Tamandua tetradactyla: one gene and its partner. The protein of the gene in region 1 purifies or fractionates together with the protein of each later gene. This does not show direct contact. Links are inferred from orthologs where the notes say so. Each region holds a gene or a part of one and is shown in the gene's direction. Other genes may lie near its edges.

The links. Proteins that work in one complex are often made in the same cells at the same time.
Region 2: the proteins of TAP1 (region 1) and TAPBP purify together in Homo sapiens (co-immunoprecipitation; 6 studies listed by BioGRID and IntAct, with this or other methods). This does not show direct contact. The link is inferred for Tamandua tetradactyla from reciprocal best matches to the Homo sapiens genes TAP1 and TAPBP.

Annotation. Positions count from the first base shown.
Region 1 is NC_135331.1:88,702,315-88,713,357, reverse strand, and holds the start of TAP1 (antigen peptide transporter 1), read left to right. Parts: upstream 1-7,082; 5' UTR 7,083-7,145; coding exon 7,146-7,719; intron 7,720-8,225; coding exon 8,226-8,340; intron 8,341-8,507; coding exon 8,508-8,638; intron 8,639-9,446; coding exon 9,447-9,652; intron 9,653-10,063; coding exon 10,064-10,261; intron 10,262-11,043. Other genes in the region: PSMB9 (proteasome subunit beta type-9), read right to left, coding at 1,909-2,036, 2,594-2,735, 2,962-3,091, 3,754-3,885, 4,665-4,732, 6,524-6,583. UniProt on the Homo sapiens protein: ABC transporter associated with antigen processing. In complex with TAP2 mediates unidirectional translocation of peptide antigens from cytosol to endoplasmic reticulum (ER) for loading onto MHC class I (MHCI) molecules.
Region 2 is NC_135331.1:89,243,926-89,253,973, reverse strand, and holds the start of TAPBP (tapasin), read left to right. Parts: upstream 1-5,438; 5' UTR 5,439-5,613; coding exon of another isoform or gene 5,614-5,643; 5' UTR 5,644-5,694; coding exon 5,695-5,731; intron 5,732-5,887; coding exon 5,888-6,052; intron 6,053-6,286; coding exon 6,287-6,547; intron 6,548-10,048. Other genes in the region: DAXX (death domain-associated protein 6), read left to right, coding at 95-566, 743-965, 1,177-1,236; ZBTB22 (zinc finger and BTB domain-containing protein 22), read left to right, coding at 1,756-1,792, 2,779-4,742. UniProt on the Homo sapiens protein: Involved in the association of MHC class I with transporter associated with antigen processing (TAP) and in the assembly of MHC class I with peptide (peptide loading).

The DNA of each region.
Region 1 (11,043 bases):
AAAGGAAGAGCCACGGAAGGGGAATAATTCATCCTGTTGTTCAGCGAGTGCAAGACACAGATAGGACCAGAACTCAGCTTTGTTTAATACATTTAGTTACTCAGATATCTGATGCCCAGGAATGTGCAAGGCATTCTGGGAGCCTCTGAGGCAGACAGTCAGGAGACAAGACACACTCACATGAAAGAGCCAAGAGGGACAGGGGACAGGACTGTCAAAAGTCTGGGTGTGGAGCACTGCATTTAAGTGCTGATTAGGTTTTCTTCTGGTCAGAGAAGGCTGTAACTAGAGTAGGCTGGGCTAACAGTGCAGAATTCAAGTTGGAGATGACAAAACCTGAGCTTGAGGGGATGGAGAGTTTATGTAGGGGTAGGGGAAGGGCATTTGATAAAGCCAAATATCAGCTCCCAGCTCTGAACTTGCTGTGTGGCTTCTGTCAAGTGACTTAATCTTTCTAAGCCTCCATCTGTCCTTAGACAAAAATAATAATAGGACCCTTTGAAGCCTTAACCTAAAATGTACAGGGTTCCTATTTGGAATGATGGAAATGGATCGTGGTGATGGTAGCTGTATTAGTCAGGGTTCTCTGGAGAAACAGAACCAACAGAAGAGATCTGTAAGTATGAGATTTATAAAGGTGTGTCATGCAACTGTGGGAATGGAAGAGTCCAAAATTCACAAGGCAGGCTATGAAACTGGTGGTTACAATGAAGAGTCTGGATGAACTCCACAGGGAAGGCTTGTTAGCCTTCGACTGATTGGATTATCTTGTTGTAGGAAACATGCCTTAGTTGATAGCAGATGTAATCAGCCACAGATGTAACCAACTGACTGATGATTTAACACACCAGCCTTCCAGTTTATCAGTCAACCATGAAATATCCTTGCAGCAACAGTCAGACCAGTGCTTGCTTGGCCAGACAACTGGGCATCATCACCTGGTCCAGTTTATACCATAGCCTAACCTTCACAGTAGCATAACATTGTGAATGCAGTTAATAGCACTGAAATAAATATCCAAATATGATTAAAAGGGGAAATGTTAGATTGTATATATACAACAGATTAAAAATTTAAAAAAAATCCATGGAGTTACACTACACAAACAGTGGACCCTAAGGTAAACCATGGACTTTAGTAAATAGTACATTACAAAAATATGCTATCATCAATTGTTACAAAAGTTCCACCTCAATGCAAGGGATTGGTAGTGGATGGTGTATGGGAATCCTGTATTTTGTGCACATTTGTTCTGTAAATGCTCAACTTCTCTAATAAAGAGAATAATAATGATAGTAGTACCTATATAGGGCTTTTGTTTGGATTCAAAGAGCTGATGTTTTTAAAGTGCTGAACAAATGCCTGGCTCAATAAACACAGGTCTTTTATTGTTATTGCTATTAATCTTTCAAATCCAAAAGCACCCCCTAAATATTTAAGTATTTATCATGTATTGGTCTTTCATGTGAATGAATGTGTTATGAAGGGAATTCTTTTGTATGAGTTTGCTGGAGCTATTAGCTGATTCTCCCGTGTGAAGTTGTCTTGTACACTCATTAGCTTTAGCTCTTAAAAGAATGAGTTCCAACTCTTCACTTGTACCGTTAGGCATCAGAATGAATTTTTAATTGCTTCTAATATTTCAAAATCACTCAGTACATGATGACCTGAGCATAGGGCTCTTTCCAGTTCTAGTACGTCCCCCACCCTATCTCCAAACCCCTTCTTCTGGGAAGGATGTTTTAGACCTGGGGACAAAAGAACAAAAAGGGTATGCTGGCACCTGGAAGGGAAGACTCTCCCTCCCTAATAAGCTTCATCCAGTTGAATGCCCAGTTCCCGTTGACCATACCAGGTTTTGGTCTTAGAATGTTTATTACAAAATATGGAAGCAAAGTCTGAGTAGATTCATTCATCATAGAACTTTGGCAGCTCATTGCCCAAGATGACTCGATGGTCCACACCAGCAGCTGTGATTGTGACCAGGTAGATGACACCCCCACTGGAGCCATCCCGGCCCATGGCCAGAGCGATAGCTGCATAGGGTTTCAAGTTGGAGAGAGGGAGAGAGAAAACGGCTTAGCTTCAACAATCTTTTCCTTCCCCTCCTGTTGATGTGCCTATTAGCACTTCCAGACCTCAAAACCCATGTCTCAGAGGGACATATTTAGTGGTGTGCTGGTAAACCAGCTGGAAAAAAAGGTCTTGATCTGTACCATCTGCTGATGTGCGTGGTATAAATACCCCACCATGATCAATGTCAAGTTTAACAAGCAGCTTACAAAATACCTGTAGATTTAATAATCGGCTCTCATGAGTTGGTCCAAGCCAGCGCCAGCATACTCTCGGTTCTTACCATGACCATACTGCATGATTTGGTTCACTCAGGACTATCCTGGTTTATTCCTATTGGCCTGAAGTTCTATCTAGTTTAGCATTTCTCCTGCCCCCTTTCACTCTCAAAAGTGTTCCAGTTTGGATATTAAATTAAATAAATGGTCACTCATGTATTCCACTTCCTGTTCCTCATTAATTCACTTCTTTCTCATGTTTAAAAATCCCTTCCCAGGTTCCCTTCCACTTGTTGATTTACCATCTGTAGTGAAGCGTCTGCACTCCTCAGGGGACATGCCTGGTTTATATGCTGCATCCACATAACCGTAAATGTAGGTGCTGCCGGAGCCACCAATGGCGAAGGGCTGTCGCGTCAGCATTCCTCCCAGAGTTCCATATACCTAGGTGGGGGCGTCCTCAGGTCAGACTAAAGAGTCATCAACCTTCCCCTTCGCACTGAGACAAGCAGATGGCCTCCCCATTCTGCAGTAAAGCTCTGGTATCTCACAGCCCAATAGTTGAGACTCTGTCCTTTGAAACTCATTGCTAGAATGACATATGCCTACCATCTTGTTCCATACAGAAGGGTGGAACCCTTGGGGAGGGGGCAAGTTAGGAGACACTCACCTGGCCCCCTTCACGTTGGTCCCAGCCAGCTATCATGAGATGTGCAGAGAGATCCTCCCGATACTTATAGGTGATATTCTTCACCACGTTTGCAGCAGCCAGAACGAGGGGAGAGTCCTCCAGTTCCAACCTGACGGAGATATTAGGCGTAGGGGTCTCATAATCTCCTCAAGTCCCGGCCTCTGGTGCTATTACCACTATACCTGCCAAATGACCTATAATACTTATATTAGTTCAAATTCCAGCTTCCCTTCCACACGTACAGGGCAACCAGGGTTTCAACCAGGGTTTCATGTCACCAATTTATAAGGAGCTTTCTGTGGTCTTCTCCCTGCCCCACCCTACCTCCAATTACTTAATTGTCCTTTGTCTACAAGGACCCTGACCTTGTATGGAAAGGCAGATAAGCTTTATTTCTGCTTGAATGGCCTTGATTTCTCATACATTAACTTTGATCGAGATTATGGTGGGCCACGTGATCATTTTCTTCCTTATTATTTATATCAGTGTAGTGATTTACAGTTTTCAAATGGCTTTCATATATATCATTTTATTATCAAAATAGCCATGATGTGAGGGTAGGTACTAGTATCTGCATTTTACAGGTACCGAAACTGGCTTATAGAGATTCAAGCACGCCAGTTCAAAGCTAATGAAAGCAGGAACCCAAATAAGAATTTCCCATTTCCTAACTCAATGTGCCTGGAACAGAGCCTCACATAGAACTTCATGGGGTTGGAGGAGCTCCAGTAAGCGTGGGGTCAGGAGCTCATGGCCAGTGGAAATTCCTACCCATGGAGTTCCAGCTGGTAGGAGGCCATGTCTGCCACGGCCTGGGCATCAGCAGCTGAGCCAGAGAGGGCACAGTAGATGCGCTGGTGTAGAGGGGTGAGCTTGTCAAACACTCGGTTCACCACTGCCTCTCTGTCAGGAAGGAAGAGCAGTCATCAATGTTAGAGTTGGCAGGAATTGGTAAGGTCAATCAATGAGTGCTTCTCAAATTTATTTGACAAGAGAACAGTCATGGAGTGCATAAAATTCAATGCTTGGATTAAAGCAGAAAGCTAAAACAGTCTCATGGATAAATGCATTGGTGCAAGAATTAGTCAGAGTTAGATTTATTTTTCAGGTTTAGATTTTATTACAGAAAAATAACCCTAAGTTAAGAAGGTAAGAGAAATGTACCTCAACAATTTTTTTTTTTTTGCTATTCATCATCTTGAGAAATGTAATGGAACACAACAAATGTAATATTGATCTAATCCCATATACTGATATTGCATGTGAAGGAATTCTGGCCAGGAAGGGAGAGTAGGGACAAAATTAGCTTAATAGTTGATAAATGAGAAATCAGAATATCTGCTCGGCAGAATCATCTCTTCTATCCCTAAATAGAGATGGAAGGAGGGACCCTCAAATTTCTATCTCTTGTCTCCCTCTAAGACTCTGTTCCTTTACACTCCACCCCCTTATACTACAGGAACAGGCCACATAAGCATCCAGATCCCATGTCCTTCCTTCATAAACTGAGAGACCCAAGCACCTACCCAATATCTTATTATAGTGGCCTGTCCTTTCTGAATGGTCTGGTCCATTTTTCCAAAGCTCCAGTTCACCAGTTTTTTGTTCATGAATGAGTAAGAAAAATACGTATTTGGTGCCATTAGTTCCTTCCAAATCCTTATAGTTTCACGGATACTCACCCTGCAGACACCCGAGAATCAGAGCCCACTACCACGCCCCCATCAAACTCCACTGCCATGATGGTCGTCTGCAGAGACACAGAGAACGGACTTCAGAGCAGGAAGTTCTGACCTCCGTACTACAGGTGAGGAGACCCTGCCGGAGAGGAGAGGCGACTGGCTCAAGGTCATACAGTAATACAGGCCAGGGCAGACCCCAGTACAAGGTCTTTTCTCCATCTTTCCACTTCTCTATTGCCTTATCCCACTTCAAGGGAACGCCACAGCACAGCCTTGATACAACAAATAAAGAACCACAACCCTAAGTCCCAACTTTCTTGGTGAAATCCTTTCCTTTCTAAAGAGAGATGGGGAAAGAGCCTCCTTGAGGTAGAAGTACTCCCTTGGAGGGAAGGGTTCGAGGGCACATAAGTAGTCCCACAAGTGAATTTTCTCTACTGCACAAGCTTATTATATGTTCCAATGGGTGCAGGTAACTTGGCAAGAATCTAGGAATCTGGGAATCAAGGTCAAGTTTGTTTGCCCAGAATCCTCCATTCTCATCCCCATTTAATCAGAAATGAATTTTTTCAGTGTACTGAACAATGTAAAACATTGAGCTGGTCAGTAGTTAGCGGAGCCAGGTATCAGGGCAGGAGGAAAGCAAGGAAGTTTCGCATAAGAAGTTTAAAATAAGTTTTGCTTGAGTTTCTGATCTAGGAGGTAAGTAGATCTTTCAGGCAGTAAGAGTAAGATGTGTACTGGGAGAGGATTGGATCAGGCTGTCTGGGCTGATTTTTTTCTAGGTCAAGAAAAGAATTAAGAAAAAAAAGAAAAGAATTAAGGAACAGTGATGAGGGATAAAGCTACACTTTCTCTACTCCTTGAATTGGAAGGAGTCTTAATGATCAAAGGAAGAAACTGAGTCATAGAGCAGGTAAGTGACACCAAGGTCACACTGAATCACTAGCAGAGCTGGAACTAAAACCCAGGTCTAACTCCTATGAAGTCTGACTTCTACTTCCTACTTTCCATTGCTCGTGCGGCAGTGAAGGGAGATTTTCTAACTTGCAAATGGTTTTACTGCGATTTTCCTCACTGTTATACCTTACTCTGGTACAACAGTTCACCATGCATTTGGCCAGAGAACTGGTGCAACCCCATCCTAGAGATTACTCTATAACAGAGCTGTCTGCAAACCTGGAATGGAGGCAGCAGTCTGGGAGTAGAGACCAGTCAGCCTTGGGGTTGCCATATGTCCCAGGCACCCAGCCTGGGCAGTCTCCCAGCAGGCATGTGGGAGTGGGGAGGGAAGAGTCAGGGAAGGGAACTGGCAACACCTGGAACAAGCAGGAACCTTCCTGAGCCAAGGTAGGGAAAAGCACCACCAGGTCCCACAGAACCCCCGTAATCAGTGCTTGGGCTATTATCACCCGTCTCTGCGGTGAGCTGATCCTGCTCAATCAGTGACCTTATACCCTCTTCCTAAGTGTAGTCCAACTTCATTTAGGGCACCGTCTCCTCATCTCTTTGCATCGCCTCTAGCCCCCGTTTTTGAATTAACCACCCACCTTGTCCACCCCAGAGTGAAAGTGAAAGCTTTTTAGAGCAGCTTCCCCTTGACGCTTCCAGCTAAGAGCCAAAACACCGCCCCCTACTCTAATGCCTCGAATGCCCAGGCCCTTCGCGGCCCCCTAGAAGACCTTCTTCAGAATAGAGATGCCTTAAGTTCACTGCGGGATGCAAGCAAGCCCTAGCTGCTACAAGCCACTTCCCCACATTTCTGTTAGTCTCCGCACACACTCCTCAGCGCTCCCAGGGTCTCCTTATCATTCCACCTTCTCCGACTCTCTGATAACCCTCAACCCCAGACCCATTACCCCGGTATGAACTTCTCCGGTCCGGGGTAAGTCCAGACTCGGCGCTCCCGCCCGCAACATCCCGGCTGCCTCCTCGCTGCCTGGGGCTCTGGTTTTCTGACCTGGGACAGCGCGCGGCGCGCAGCCTAGAGCCCCGCCCCTTCACCGCGCCCACCAGGGGGCGTCTGCGCCCTCGCTGTCAGGCTGGAAGCGGGGACGCAAACCTGTGTGGGGCAGATCTGCCCAGAGACAGATGACGAAAGGGCCCCGCTCTGAGACTTGGATGAGAAAGTTCTAGCAAGTGCGTCCCGCAGGAAAAGACCGGGAGAGGAGCGAAAGATGTGCGTGATGGAGCAGATGGGGACAACGGTGCCGCTCCCTAGAATCTTAGAATTGATATCCAGATAGTCTGGCCAGCCCCATTTGGAAGTGGGCGGTACAAGAGAGCCGGCTGCCGCTTTCGATTTCCCTTTCCCCTAAACGGCTACAATTCTTGGTAGCAAGACCGGGGACTTTCCCAGAGTTCCGCCCCGGCCCGCCCCTGCTCCCGCCTCCGGCCGTCAGCCCCGGCGCATGCTAGGTTACAGACGCAGGCGAGACCCGCAGGCTCCCGAAGGGAACCCGGGACAGCAGCCGCGAGCCGATGGCCGGCTCAGAGTCCCGGGCTCCCCGCGCGTGCCGGGCCTCCTGCGCGTGGCTGGGGGCGACGCTGCTGCTTCTCGCCGACTGTCTACTGCTCCGGCCCGCGCTGCCCGGGATATTCACTCTGCTGTTTCCCACCGCGCTGCCGCTGCTGCGGGTCTGGGGGGTGGGCCTGAGCCGCTGGGCCGTTCTGTGGCTGGGGGCCCGCGGGGTTCTCAAGACCAGAGTCTCCGATAGGGAAAGCACAGGAGTCCAGAGCTGGCTGGAAGCTTTGGAGCCTCTGGCAGTGGCACTGGGTTTGGCACTTCCGGGACTTGCCTCCTTTCGTGCGCTGGGCTTGTGGGGTGTCCCGAGGGATGCAGGCAGCTCCGGGCTGCTGCACTGGGCAGGTCGCGCCGATGTCTTCATCATCAGCTATGTTGCAGCGCTGCTCGCGGCCGCCCTGTGGCACAAACTTCGGGTGTCCTTCTGGCCTAGCGGCTCTGGAGACGCGGTGCTTCGGCTTCTCGCTTGTCTGAGCCCAGAGATACATACCTTTTCGCTCTTTCTGGTTTTGTTGATCCTCTCCTGTCTCGGTAAGAGGGACGCAGGTGGAGACCGGGAGGATGCAGGTGGTTAGTCAGGAAGCAAGTGTAATGGTCATGAGATGGGTGGTGGTAGTGTTATGGGAAATGTGCATCTGGTGACCCAGCTGAGGTCTCGAGGTGACCACTCCCGTCTGGAGAAAAGTGCATTGGACTGGGTGGGCTCAAGCCCGGGTCTCCAGTCCTGTCCCAGGCGCCACTTCTTTGGGCCACATTGGGCAAGACCTTTCCTCTTGGGCAGCAAGAGGAGGGTATTTTACTCCATCTCTAGCCTTTCTAGTTAAACCCTGGAAAGTCTGGTGGAGCAAACATAGGGCCGGGAGACCCAGGGCAGTCTCCTCAGGTAGGGGATTATGACCTCAGTGTCTTCTTTCTGCTTCTACTGTTAGGAATAAGGATAAGGGCAGCTGAGGGGTGGAATGAGGGATAGTCTGGTCAGAGGTGCCCTGCTTAGACTTAGTGTCTGTGACTGACCGGTCTTTCCTCTCCTACCCCAGGGGAAATGGCCATCCCGTTCTACACTGGTCGTCTCACTGACTGGATCCTACAAGATAAAGTAGCTGCTGCCTTCACCTACAACATAACTCTTATGTCTGCTCTCACCATAGCCAGGTCTGGGGGCTGAAGATGGATGGCTCAGAATGGGGGATCCCAGAAAAGAGGGAGCTGGAAATTGGGGCCTGCTGTCCAAAGTGCATAGCATCTGTGGGGGGTACCTGGGACCTTCCTTCTGCATCCTCCCAGCACCCCACCTGACCTTCCTTCTCCTCTGCCCCTAGCGCACTGCTGGAATTTGCAGGGGATGGAATGTATAACTACACCATGGGCCGTGTGCATAGCCACTTGCACGGAAACGTGTTTCAGGCTGTCCTGCGGCAGGAGACAGAGTTTTTCCAACAGAACCAAACAGGTTTTCACGAAACTCTTTCGCTATATGTTCATGTACTCTTTCTGTCCCCAATGCATTCTCTTTTACTTAGAAACGTGATACCTCTCTTATATGCACACATTGTCATTTCTTACTCTTGATGTATCTCAAGTTGGAGCAAAATATTCTTCTCTTTACCTTCAGAAAAACCTAGTTCCTTCTCCAGGATTTTCCCATAAATCTGTACCTCTCTGTCCTTAGATATAAATTTCAGACTTTCATTATGTCCTTAGAAACTATTTGAAAATTTTGACATCCTGGAGTCCAACTACCTCACTTTCCAGAGAAAGAAACTGAAGTTTAGATCCAAAATGCTGAAACTTTTGTAGTCACATATGGATCAAGACAAACTTGCAGGTTGAACCCCAGCCTTTTAATGCCTAGTGCTGTGCTCATTAGAGCCTCCTGGATTGCCTCCTAGCAGCATTCTCCCTTCTCCATTGCTATTACACAACCAGCTTAGGCTCTTCTTGCCTTTATGTAGAGTTTGGGATATACAAGTTCTTTAAGGAACAGGAAGCTTTCCGAAAAATAGAACTTCACATGGTGCTAATTTTCTCATAGTTAAAATGAAGATCTTTGGCAGGTTTTCACAGCCCCTTCATAGCTATTACACTCCTTCTGCCTGCAATGAGATTCCCGAATCCCTCCATACACCCATCCAACCTTGTTTTTCCCTAGAACACTGTGTTGATACCCCCACTCATGGCATCCTGGCTCATTGTTAGTCTTTCTCATCACTCTGAACCCATTGCATTCACTCTATGCTCTTCTCCCCAACCCCTGGCAGGTGCCATCACATCTCGGGTTACAGAGGACACAGCCACCGTGAGTGAGTCTCTGAGTGAGCAGCTGAGCCTGTTGCTGTGGTACCTCGTACGGGGGCTGTGCCTCTTCGGGTTCATGCTCTGGGGGTCAGTGTCCCTCACCATGATCACCCTGGTTGCCCTGCCTCTGCTTTTCCTTCTGCCTAAGAAGCTGGGAAAGTGGTACCAGGTATGTTCATGGAGTTGGCTTAACCTACACGGACCCTTTACCTCCCAGATTTGGCAGATTCATTTCCTCTTGGATTTCTTTACATTCAACTTTCTTGGTACCCTCATAATTCCCCGCCTTCATGGAACTCCCTGTTCCTGCAGTCCCATTTTTCTAGATTGCTCTTCCTTGATCTTCATACTCCCTGTATCTTTTCTCCTGACTTTTACCCAAAAATCTGTCTTTAAGAATATGATTCCCAACTTTTTGATGAGTCCTTTTCCTCTCCCTTATATCGCTCTAGCATAGTTGTATCCTTTTCTTTTCCCTCTTCTCTCTTATTCCTTTGCCTCTTCTCACCTTTAGTCTCCAACCAGTAACTCAGGTACTAATGAACCCTATTTCTTACCAACCCTCTCTGTGCATCCACAGTTGCTGGCAGTACAGATGCAGAAATCCCTGGCAGAGTCCAGCCAGGTGGCCATTGAGGCACTGTCAGCAATGCCTACAGTCCGGAGCTTTGCCAACGAGGAGGGAGAGGCCCGGAGGTTTCAACAAAAGCTGCAGGAAATGAAGAGACTCAGCCAACAGGAGTCGCTGGCCTATGCGGTTAACTACTGGACCACCAATGTGAGCACCTGGAAATGGATGCCCATTCTCTTGTCCCCGAGATGCCTTGACTCCATTCCCTTTGTCATGACCCTTTTCTCAACTCTGCCTCCACTGGGAAATGGTTGGTACAGTATTATCATCTGGGCAACCTGAGCCTCAATTTCCCTTCCCAAGGTCCCTAAACCCTTCCCTTTTTTTAGGGGTTCTAGATAGCTTTCATTCACTGTGCCACACAAAATTCTCCCAACATCCTCTTTTTTTTAAAATAATTTTAAATTAATTTTTAAATTTAAAAAATATGACAAGAAAGAAACACAAACATTCTTAACATGTGATCATTCTGTTCTACATATATAATCAGTAATTCACAGTATCATCACATAGTTGCATATTCATCATCATGATCATTTCTTAGAACATTTGCATCAATTCAGAAAAAGAAATAAAGACAACAGAAAAAGAAATAAAATGAAAACAGAAAAAAAAAGATTATACATACCATACCCCTTACCCCTCTCTTTCAGTGATCACTAGCATTTCAAACTAAATTTATTTTAACATTTGTTTCCCCACTGCTTATTTTTATTCAATTATTTATTTTTATTCCATATGTTCCACTCGTCTGTTGACAAGGTAGATAAAAGAAGCATCAGACACAAGGTTTTCACAATCACACAGTCACACTGTGAAAGCTACACCATTATACAATCATCTTCAAGAAACATGGCTACTGGAACACAGCCCCACATTTTCAGGCAGTTCCCTCCAGCCTCTGCATTACATCTTGAATAGCAAGGTGA
Region 2 (10,048 bases), about 540 kb from region 1:
ACCCTTCCCTTCCTCCTCTTTTCCCCTAGCACCCCCTCAGCAGTATTATTTCACTTAGGTCTCATGTCATTCTTCCTCTTTTCTTCTTTCTTAGGTAAGGATGGAGACAAAAGCCCCGTGTCCCCACCACAGATCTCCATTGAACAGAACATGGAACCTGGCAAAGGGATCAGCAGGTCTTCAGGGGCACAGCAAAACAGAGGACTCACAGTGTCTCCATCTTCACTGTCAGAAGAGCCCCTGGGCCCCTCCAGCATAGATGTGGAAAGCAATGGAGAACAGCCTGAGGAGTTGCCCCTGGAGGAAGAGAGCCCTATGTCTCAGCTCTTTGAGCTAGAGATTGAGGCCTTGCCCCTGGATACCACCCCTTCCCCTGAAGAAAGGGACATTTCCAGGAAGCAGTCAGAGGACCCCTTGACCACTGTCTTGGAGAATGGGGCAGCCATGGTCACCTCCACTTCCTTCAATGGAGGTGTCTCTCCTCACACCTGGGGAGATTCCAGCCCCCCCTGCAAGAAATCTCGGAAGGAGAAGGAGCAAACAGGGTCAGGGCCATTAAGAGACAGGTAACAATTAGGAGGAGGAAGAGGGAAACCAAGGAGGGATTGCAGGGGGCTTTCTGAGAGGAATGTTGGGGAACTGAGTCTGCTGGGAGTCAAATCATACACCGCTCTCCTGCCTTACCCCACCTCCAGATTCACGTTCCCCATACCCTTCCACACATTTATGTTTCTGTCCCCAGCTATGTGGAAAGGCAAAGAGCAGTGCATGAGAAGAATGGGAAGAGGATATGTACTTTGCCCAGCCCACCTTCCCCCTTGGCTTCCATGGTCCCAGTTGCTGATTCCTCGACAAGGGTGGACTCTCCCAGCCACGGTCTGGTGACCAGCTCCCTCTGCAGTCCTTCTCCAGCCTTGCTGTCCCAAACCTCCCAATCACAAGTCCCCCACCCTAGTACTTACAAGGTAAGAGGGGGAGGCTATTTTGCCTCCAACAGTTCATTCTCTTTCATTGTTCAGTTTCAGCCAATGTGAATATTGCACCCTCCACATCCTCCTTTTTTTTCCCCATCCCTAACTTTTCTTTTTTTTAATCTAAGTTTTTCCCTCTGCTTCTCCTACCCCTACTCCCCCAACCGTTCTGACACTTGCACCTTTGTCTCTCACTCCCTTGCAGATGAGTGTGGCCACACAGTGTGATCCAGAGGAGATTATCGTGCTCTCAGACTCTGATTAGCTGGTCCCCCTCTCTCCAACTCCAAAATGTTTAGAGATAGCATTTGGAGGATGATGGGCAGTAGATGACTGGAAGGAATGGACTAAGCTAATCCCCTTTTGGTGATGTTTCTTTAAGAAAAACAAAAGCTTAAGTTTTACACAGAAACATTAATAAACAATAAAATTCTTTTCTTACTGTATCCCTGTCTTCCTTGAATATGTACTGTCACAGATTGGCACCCGCTTCCGTCACACCTACTCCCGGCTCAGAGTTAGCCCAACCCCGGAGTAGCCCCGAAATTGCCCCTTGCGCTGCGACCATCCCTGCGCCCACAGCCCGCTGACAGGCACCAAAAAACATACTTCAGCCTCCTTAATACGCATTTATTTTTCACTTCGAGCGGTCGTAGTAAAAAGGCCAATCAGAGGCCGGCTCAAGGTTACTTGGCCAATCCAGGCTGGGAGGAAGAGGGCGGGACTTCAGAGGGAACTGTCAGAAACTGGAGGGCGAGGGCTATTAGACCTCGGAAACCTACTAATGGCCACCGCTCAGGGGCGGAGCCTGGCTAGCGATGGTCAGTACTCACCGCCAATGGGAAGAGGCAGGCTTACAGAATTAAAGGGGAATGAATGCTTTGGCCAAACTAAGTCCTGAGTCCTCAGCGGAGGAAGGAACCTGATACCTTTAACGTAGAATGAGGCGATGATTCTTTAAAGGAGAAGTGGCCGAGTCGGCAGACTATTGCCTAGCAGCACGGGTGGGGTGCCCGCCTGTGCCTTTAAAGTTAGAGGGGCGGGAGGCGGAGCGGGGGCGGAGGGCGGAGGGAGTCGGCGCAAGATGGCGGCGGGAGGGGCTCAGGCTGCGGCTCTGGTCGCCGAGTGAGGGGCGGGGGGGCCCGGGGGCGCGCGGCCCGGTAAGCGGGGACGCGCGGGGTTGGGGGGCGCCTTCCGGGTGGGAGAGAAGACCGAGTTAGCGCTTGGGGCGGAGCGGAAGGGGGCGGGGTCCTTGTGGGCGGGGGTAAGCAAGAGGCGTGGTCGAAAGGACCGAGGGGCGGGGCATGGGTGGGTCCTCCAGGGGGCGTGGCTAGGCGTAAACTGGGGGCAAATGGGGCGTGGTCGCGAGAGAGCCGGGGGCAGAGAGAAGGATGGTTTTCAGTACCAGAGCAGACCTGCCCCTTCCCAAGAACAGGGTGCAAAAGACCCAAGAGGTAGATTTTGGAATGTCACTCAGACAAATGGAAAACAGGGTGTAATTTTGAGGGGAAGCACCCTTCGAAAGACTAAAGTGCCTTATTTCTTTAACACCAAGTAAAGAGCACTGAATTTGGAGTCAGGAGACCTGTATTTGCTGATATTGGCACTTACTGGCTGCATGACCTTGAATAGTTGCTTAATCTTTCCGAGCCTGTGCTCTCATCTGTCAAATGAGGTTGAGAGAAATACTGATCTTACAATGCTGTGGGAAGTTACTCAGAAAATGGGTTTGAACATGTTTGTAAACTAAGGGACTGTGTAGTAGTTATGAGATGCTATCGTTATTCTTCTCTCTTTTTTTCCCCAGAGACCCCCCCGGCCGCCCTCCTCCTTCCCTTGTTCCTGTGGCTGGGGGGGTACCCCCTCTTCACCATGGAGCCATCTCCCCTCTCTCCCAGCGGGGCAGCACTCCCCTTGCCCCTATCGCTGGCCCCACCCCCACTGCCCCTACCAGCAGCTGCAGTGGTACATGTGTCCTTTCCTGAGGTGACCAGTGCCCTCTTGGAGTCCCTCAATCAGCAGCGGCTGCAGGGGCAGCTGTGCGATGTGTCCATCCGCGTGCAGGGCCGGGAGTTCCGGGCTCATCGTGCTGTCCTTGCGGCCTCCTCCCCTTACTTCCACGACCAGGTCCTGCTGAAGGGCATGACCTCTATCTCGCTGCCCAACGTCATGGATCCAGGCGCCTTCGAGACTGTCCTGGCCTCAGCTTACACTGGCCGCCTCAGCATGGCTGCTGCCGACATTGTCAACTTCCTCACAGTGGGGTCTGTGCTCCAAATGTGGCACATCGTAGACAAGTGCACTGAGCTCCTCCGCGAAGGCCGAGCCTCAGGCACTGCCACCATCACCACTGCTGCAGCCACCTCGGTCACTGTCCCTGTTGCTGGGGGCCCGGCAGGAAGTGGGGGCACCATGGCACCTGCCACCGTAGGCTCTGTGCGCTCTCATGCTTCCAGCCGTGCTAGTGAGAACCAGTCCCCCAGCAGCAGCAATTACTTCAGTCCCCGCGAATCCACTGATTTCTCTTCTTCTCAAGAGGCCTTTACAGCTTCTGCAGTGGGCAGTGGGGAGCGGCGTGGAGGTGGCCCTGTATTTCCAGCCCCTGTGGTTGGCAGTGGGGGGGCCACATCTGGGAAGCTGCTACTGGAAGCTGATGAGCTGTGTGATGATGGTGGGGATGGCAGGGGGGCAGTGGTCCCTGGGGCTGGACTCCGGCGTCCCACATACACCCCACCCAGCATCATGCCACAGAAACACTGGGTATATGTGAAGCGGGGTGGAAACTGCCCCGCACCAGCACCCCTAGTTCCCCAAGACCCAGACCTGGAGGAGGATGAGGAGGAGGAAGACCTGGTGTTAACCTGTGAGGATGATGAAGATGAAGAGCTAGGGGGTGGCTCAGTGGTCCCAGCGGGGGGAGGACCTGAGGCTACCCTTAGCATAAGTGATGTCAGGACCCTGACTGAGCCTCCAGATAAGGGGGAGGAGCAGGTCAACTTCTGTGAGTCTTCAAATGACTATGGCCCTTTTGAGGGTGGGGGTCCTGGGGCAGGCCTGGATGACTCAGGGGGGCCAACCCCCTCCTCCTACACCCCCTCCCACCCTCCACGGCCCCTGCTTCCCCTGGACATGCAGAGCAACCAGATCCTGGTCTTCCCATCTTCCTCCTCCACCTCCTCCTCCTCCTCCCAGGCTCCAGGCCCCCCACAGGGGAACCAGGCTGAGCATGGGGCAGTGACCCTAGGGGGCACGGCAGGGAGCCTAAGTGTGCCCGGGAGCACTGGCGGGGCCCCTGGGGGGACAGGTGGTGGAGACGGGAATAAGATCTTTCTATGCCACTGCGGGAAGGCCTTCTCGCACAAGAGCATGCGGGACCGGCACGTCAACATGCACCTCAACCTGCGGCCATTTGACTGCCCCGTGTGCAACAAGAAGTTCAAGATGAAGCACCACCTGACGGAACACATGAAGACACACACAGGCCTCAAGCCCTACGAGTGCAGCGTCTGCGCCAAGAAGTTCATGTGGCGAGACAGCTTCATGCGCCACCGGGGACACTGTGAGCGCCGGCACCGCCTGGGTGGGGCCGGGGCGGGGCCCGGGGCGCCCACGGGGCCCACAGTACTGCCCAAGCGAGAGTCCCCCGGAGCTGGCCGGGGCAGCGGAGACGAGGCGAGTGGAGCCACGCCCCCGCCCAACCGAAGGGTCTGGTCCCCATCTGGCGTCCACAAGGTGGAAATGGGCTTTAGTGGGGGCGGAGGGGCAAACTGAGAGGGCAGAGCTACTAAGGGTAGCTTTAAGGGAAGAGTGAATAGGGAACACAATTCGGGGGCATTTGGCCCCGGAGAGCTCTCCCATCACACGCAATGTCTTCCTAATCTCTCTGGACTTGTATATACTTGAGAGGAGGAACCAAGTAGCACAGTCTACAGACCATTCCATTCCTCAGCTCCACTCACCCCCTCCCGCGGGGGAGGGTGTCTCTTCTCTTCTTTTCCTCAGATAGATACACTACTGAAGCCCCAGCTCCACAGTAGGGAGTGCATGGAGGAGAGAGGGGGAAATGTTGAGCATCCTGGAATCACAGGGTCAGGGGTCCGAAGGCTGTAGTGTGTGCCTGAAGTCTGTGTTTGTGTTTTGTGGGGACCAGGTCTTCGAGCCCCGCCCTTGTCCTAGAACTTATCCCTCCTGTTTCCCAGGTTGCACCCTTATTTCTACCCCTACTTCTACGCCTCCCCTCCTCCCCTCATCTCTCCAGTTCGGTTCTCAGGGGGGAGGGGGTGGACACAAGGAGGGAGTAAGTCGTAGGAGTACAAGGGTCTTATTTTAATTTTTTAAAATGGTGATTAAAATATTTATTGGTCATTGCAATTGGCTTCCCAACAACCCCTGTGTGTCTTTGCTGGGGATCCGGCACAGGTGGGGGAAAGTGGTGTAAAGTTCCCGGGGGGGGGGGGGGGGGGGAGCCCGGGGAAGGGGAGGGTTTTGGAACTGGAACTTGCTGGCCGGCCCAGGAGGGCGCGGCAGGCCTGAGGTGCCCGATAGAGAACTGGTGAGGATGTTCCCGGATCCCTGCTCCGCGAGTGGGGCGCGCCGCCGCCACGCGCACCTCCTCACCTAACCAGAGCGGGGATTTCCTCAGCCCCTCCTGCTGGCCATTAGAGGAAAGTGAAAGTGAAAGGGGGGAAGAGGAGGCTTTCAGGGCTGAGGAGATCGCAGCGCCATGAAGCCCCTGTCCCTGCTCCTCGCTGTGGCTTTGGGTGAGCGAAACCTGCGACTCCTCGCCCAGGGATGGGGTGAGGTGGGGTGGGGCGGAGTGATCCCGCCGGGAGCCCGGGGCCGTGGGGGGGGGGGGGCGGGGAGGGCCGGTCACCCTATATCCCGGCCGCCCCCTCACTCGCGTCCTTCTCCCCCAGGCCTGGCGACCGCCGTCTCGGCCGGGCCCACCGCGCTTGAGTGCTGGTTCGTGGAGGATGGGGGCAGCCTGGCCAAGAAACCCGCTGCCCTGCTTCTGCGCCAAGGCCCGGAGGAACCGCCTCCCAGGTCCGACCTCGACCCCCAACTCTACCTCAACGTTCACGGTGCGTCTTCGGGGACTCGCCCCCAAGTCTGTAGGCTCTCTCCACCAGACCCTCCTTACGTAGCGTGATGACCTTGGGCCTCAGTTTCCCCCTCTGTAAAATGAAAGTCTGGATTACCTCTAACCTCTCACTACCCGGGTGGTTTGTTAATGTCAAATTCCCCGGACGCTGCCCTCGCTGTCCCTTTCCCGGCAGCGACTACAGCTGCGCCCCCACCATTCTCTGCACTTCCAGACCCCACGGGGGCCCTCCAGGCAGCCTTCAGGAGGTACCCCCGAGGCGCCCCGGTGCCACACTGCGAGATGAGCCGCTTTGTCCCGTTCCCTGCTTCCGCCAATTGGGCCAGTGGCCTGACCCCGGATGAGAGCTGCCCGCGAGCTCTGGATGGGACTTGGTTCATGGTCAGCATGTCCAGCCCTGTTCTCAGCCTCTCCATCCTGCTGCGGCCACAGCCCGAGCCTCAAAAGAAGCCTGTTTTCATCACGCCGGCCACAGGTAGCTGGAGCGGGGAGGTGGAGGAGGATGGGGAGATTCCAGGGGTCCCAAGTGTACCGGTAACTTGACAGAGTTATTTCCCCAATCGGGCTCAGCTTCCATATTTGTAAAGAGAAGCAGTCCGGCTAGAATTAGATAAAGTATCTCTACCATTCCTTCTAGCTCCCATCTAGAAAAAAAGTAGCGACCTCGGCTGGAAGTTGGGGCGGAGCCTCTTAGCGTTCCCAGGAGCGAAACTTTGGAGAAAGGCGGGGCTTGCAGGACTGGCTTTGAGAAACATGCTAGGTGATTGGATTGGGAGGGGCTTAGAAGCAGGAATTTCTTTCTCCTCTCCGCCCAGATCTATATCTTGCTGGGCACCGCCACCCTTGAAGTTCACCCTCTTTCGAAACCACCTTCGAGCCGCACCCTCACCCACACGAGGTGCCTGCGGCAGTCAGCAAAGCAAAAGCTCTTGCTTTCAGGTGGGCGTACCTCTGCGGCCTTCTCTTTGGCGCGGGAGGATGCGCAGATTCTGTGGTCATCTATTGGCTGACTCCAGTGGGAGCCAGAGAGGGCCGGGAGAACCACTGGTTCCCACTGCCCTGACCGCTTACTGCGTTGTGCAATGCGGATTGAGGCCCAGGGCTGGGACGAGGGGATAGCATGGTCGGATAGTGTCAGAATGGGGAAGATCTGACCCCAGCATCCAGGAGGGTGGGTAGGACACAGGTAATGTCCTCGGCTTCCCTCAGTCTCTGCGATCAGATCAACCTCAACCGAACCCCTGTTCCCTCCCTTCCACTGTACTCACTCCCTACCACTCTCACTAAGAGTCCCGTGACACAGGGGCGATGGAAATGTCCTCAGTGCCCCTCCCTCAGTAAGAATGACTACCCCTCCATTCTTAGTCCCCAAGCTGCTCCTGTGGGGACAGCGCCCTCTCCAGTGGGAAAGAGTATATCTCGGGCCTGCAGGCTTCACTGCAGCACCCCGTGAGACTGTCCTTTTCTCTCAAAGTCTGTTTTTTAAACTGTAAAATGTGGATACTATTTCCCATCTGTCTTTCTGTTGCTGTGACTAGCACTTTCTGTGTTAATCTGATTCACCAATTCAATAAATATTTATTGGCACCAAGAGTAAGTTGTGGCCCAGTTAGTTCTCAGTCCTGGCTAAAAATTAGAGTCGTCTGGGAAGCTTTAAAAACATACTGAAGCCCCGGGTCCCACCCCAGGTCAATTAATCAGAATCTCAGGGATGGCAGTGGGCACTGCTAAGAATCACAAAGGAGATCACAGGTAGACTCAGCTCTCAAGGAGGTTCTGGGCTGTTACAGGGGGATGAGATCTGTAATAATTCTCATGTGAAGTAGAAAGCAATTTGTGCTTTGAAACAAGTGCAGTTAAGGAGCCATGGAATTGCTCGGGCAGGAAGATTATCTGCAGCTCACAGGCCACTTGGGGTAAAACCAAGTTGGTAAAAACAAGTCATTGTGCTTTATCTTCCTTTTCAAGTGTTTCTAGATTAAGCGTTCAAGACTATGAAAAAAGTTTTGATGTAAAAATTAAAATAGAATATTTTTAGGTCATAGACCATTGATGATTTTGCTATAAAAATTTATGTATTATTTCTTTTCAAATTAGTTAACAATTTGAAATGTCTGTTGGCAACTATTTTTTCTTATATCTTGTGTTCATAGTATTTAATTCTCACTATTTTTAAAAACATTATGGAAAATTTCAAAGATACATAACAGTCGAGAAAATACTATAATGAAGCTGCACATATTCATCACCCGCTTATACAGTTATCACACTTTACCAAATTGTTTCACATTCTCACCCACCTTTTTTTTTTGCCAGAGTATTTTAAAGTACATCCAAGACATCATATTATTTTACTCTTAAATTCTCCACTGAGCATCTCTATTACATAAGGATTTAATATTTATAACCACAATACCATCATCACCCCTAACAAAACAAACATTAATTCCTTAATATCATCACATTTCTAGCCCATATTAACATTTTCCTGATTGTCTTAATTATGTAATTTTACAGTGGATTTGCTTAAATCAGGATTCAAAAACAACCATATATTGTATTTGGTTGTTTTGTCTTGTCTCTTTCATTCTATAATTGCTCACACAACTCCTCTTCCCCCACCCTAATGCGATTGTTTGTTGGGGAAACCTAGTCATTTGTCCTGTAGACTTTCCCACATTCCATATTCAGCCAGTTTTTTTCTGCTTGCTGACATTTATCTTGTTCTTCTTTCCTCTATGTTTCCGATAAACTGGTAGTTAGATCTAGAGCCTTGATTAGATTTGGGCTCAAATTTTTACTTCAATGTTACTATATAATAGGTACTACCATTCACTTTTTCAAAGCACAGAAAAGCAAAAGCTATGTATACAAGTTACAAAAATAGAGGTAGAAACTTTCCTTACTATTCTTTTTACTCCTGTATGTTCACAGAGTACAGCTTATGGGATGCAGGTCTAAAGCTGCTTCCAATATCTCATAATAAAAATCACTGTTGGCTTAAAAGTTAAACCATAAAACCTTTACAGTGGATTGTTTTTAACAATTCTAAAGTATGTCTCTGGATTTTGATAAACCAAGTGAAATTATATACTGTTTTACTCTACTAATTAAAATTTTTCCATGACAAAAGCTTAACCTTTTAGGCCTCAGACGCTAGGATTAAAAATGGCATAATCAGAGGAGAATATTTCTTCTACCTAGAAGACCCAGACATTTTGGAGAAGAAGTTAGCAGTAGAACTGACTGAAGGACATGGAGTATTTAGATGTTTGGGAAAATGGAAAAGGGCATTGTAGACTGAAGGACCCTCAGGACCAGAGCAAAGAGACGTCCAGTGACTAGAGTTTCTAGCAGGAGCAAGAAATAGATTCTATGTGACAGGTTCTTAGGGTGTGAGAGGTGTCTGGAAACGTGAAGGCTAGTTTATCACATACCTTGAAAGTTGGGCTTTATCCTATAAGTGATGTTGAACCATCAGAAAATTCTTTTTGTGATTTTTCAAAAAATTCTGTTATTTTACTTGATTATTATAAGAGATAGGCAAGGATCATTGGATTCATGAGGAAAATAAAGGGTGTCACTTTCCCAAGGTACCCAGCCGGTCCATGATAGTGACAATAGTAATGAAAATATTAACTAACTTTGAGCTAAGCCCTGTTCTAAGACTTTACATGCAAAATCTCATTTATTTTTCTTGACACCACAGGAAATGGGTGCTACTATTATCTCCATTTTATAGATGAAGAAATCTGAGGCTCAGATTAGTTAGGTAACTTGCCCAAGGACATGCAGCTTGTAAGAAACAGAGCTAGGAATTAAATCTGGATCATCTGGCTCCAGCTTGTGCCATTAGCTGCTGACTTCCTACGTACTTGGGATTCTTCAAAGAGAAACTGAGGTTAGACAAGAGAGTAGGCCGTTGTAATTGTCCAAATATATGTTGATTAAGAATCTGAGCTGGAGTGAGGACAAC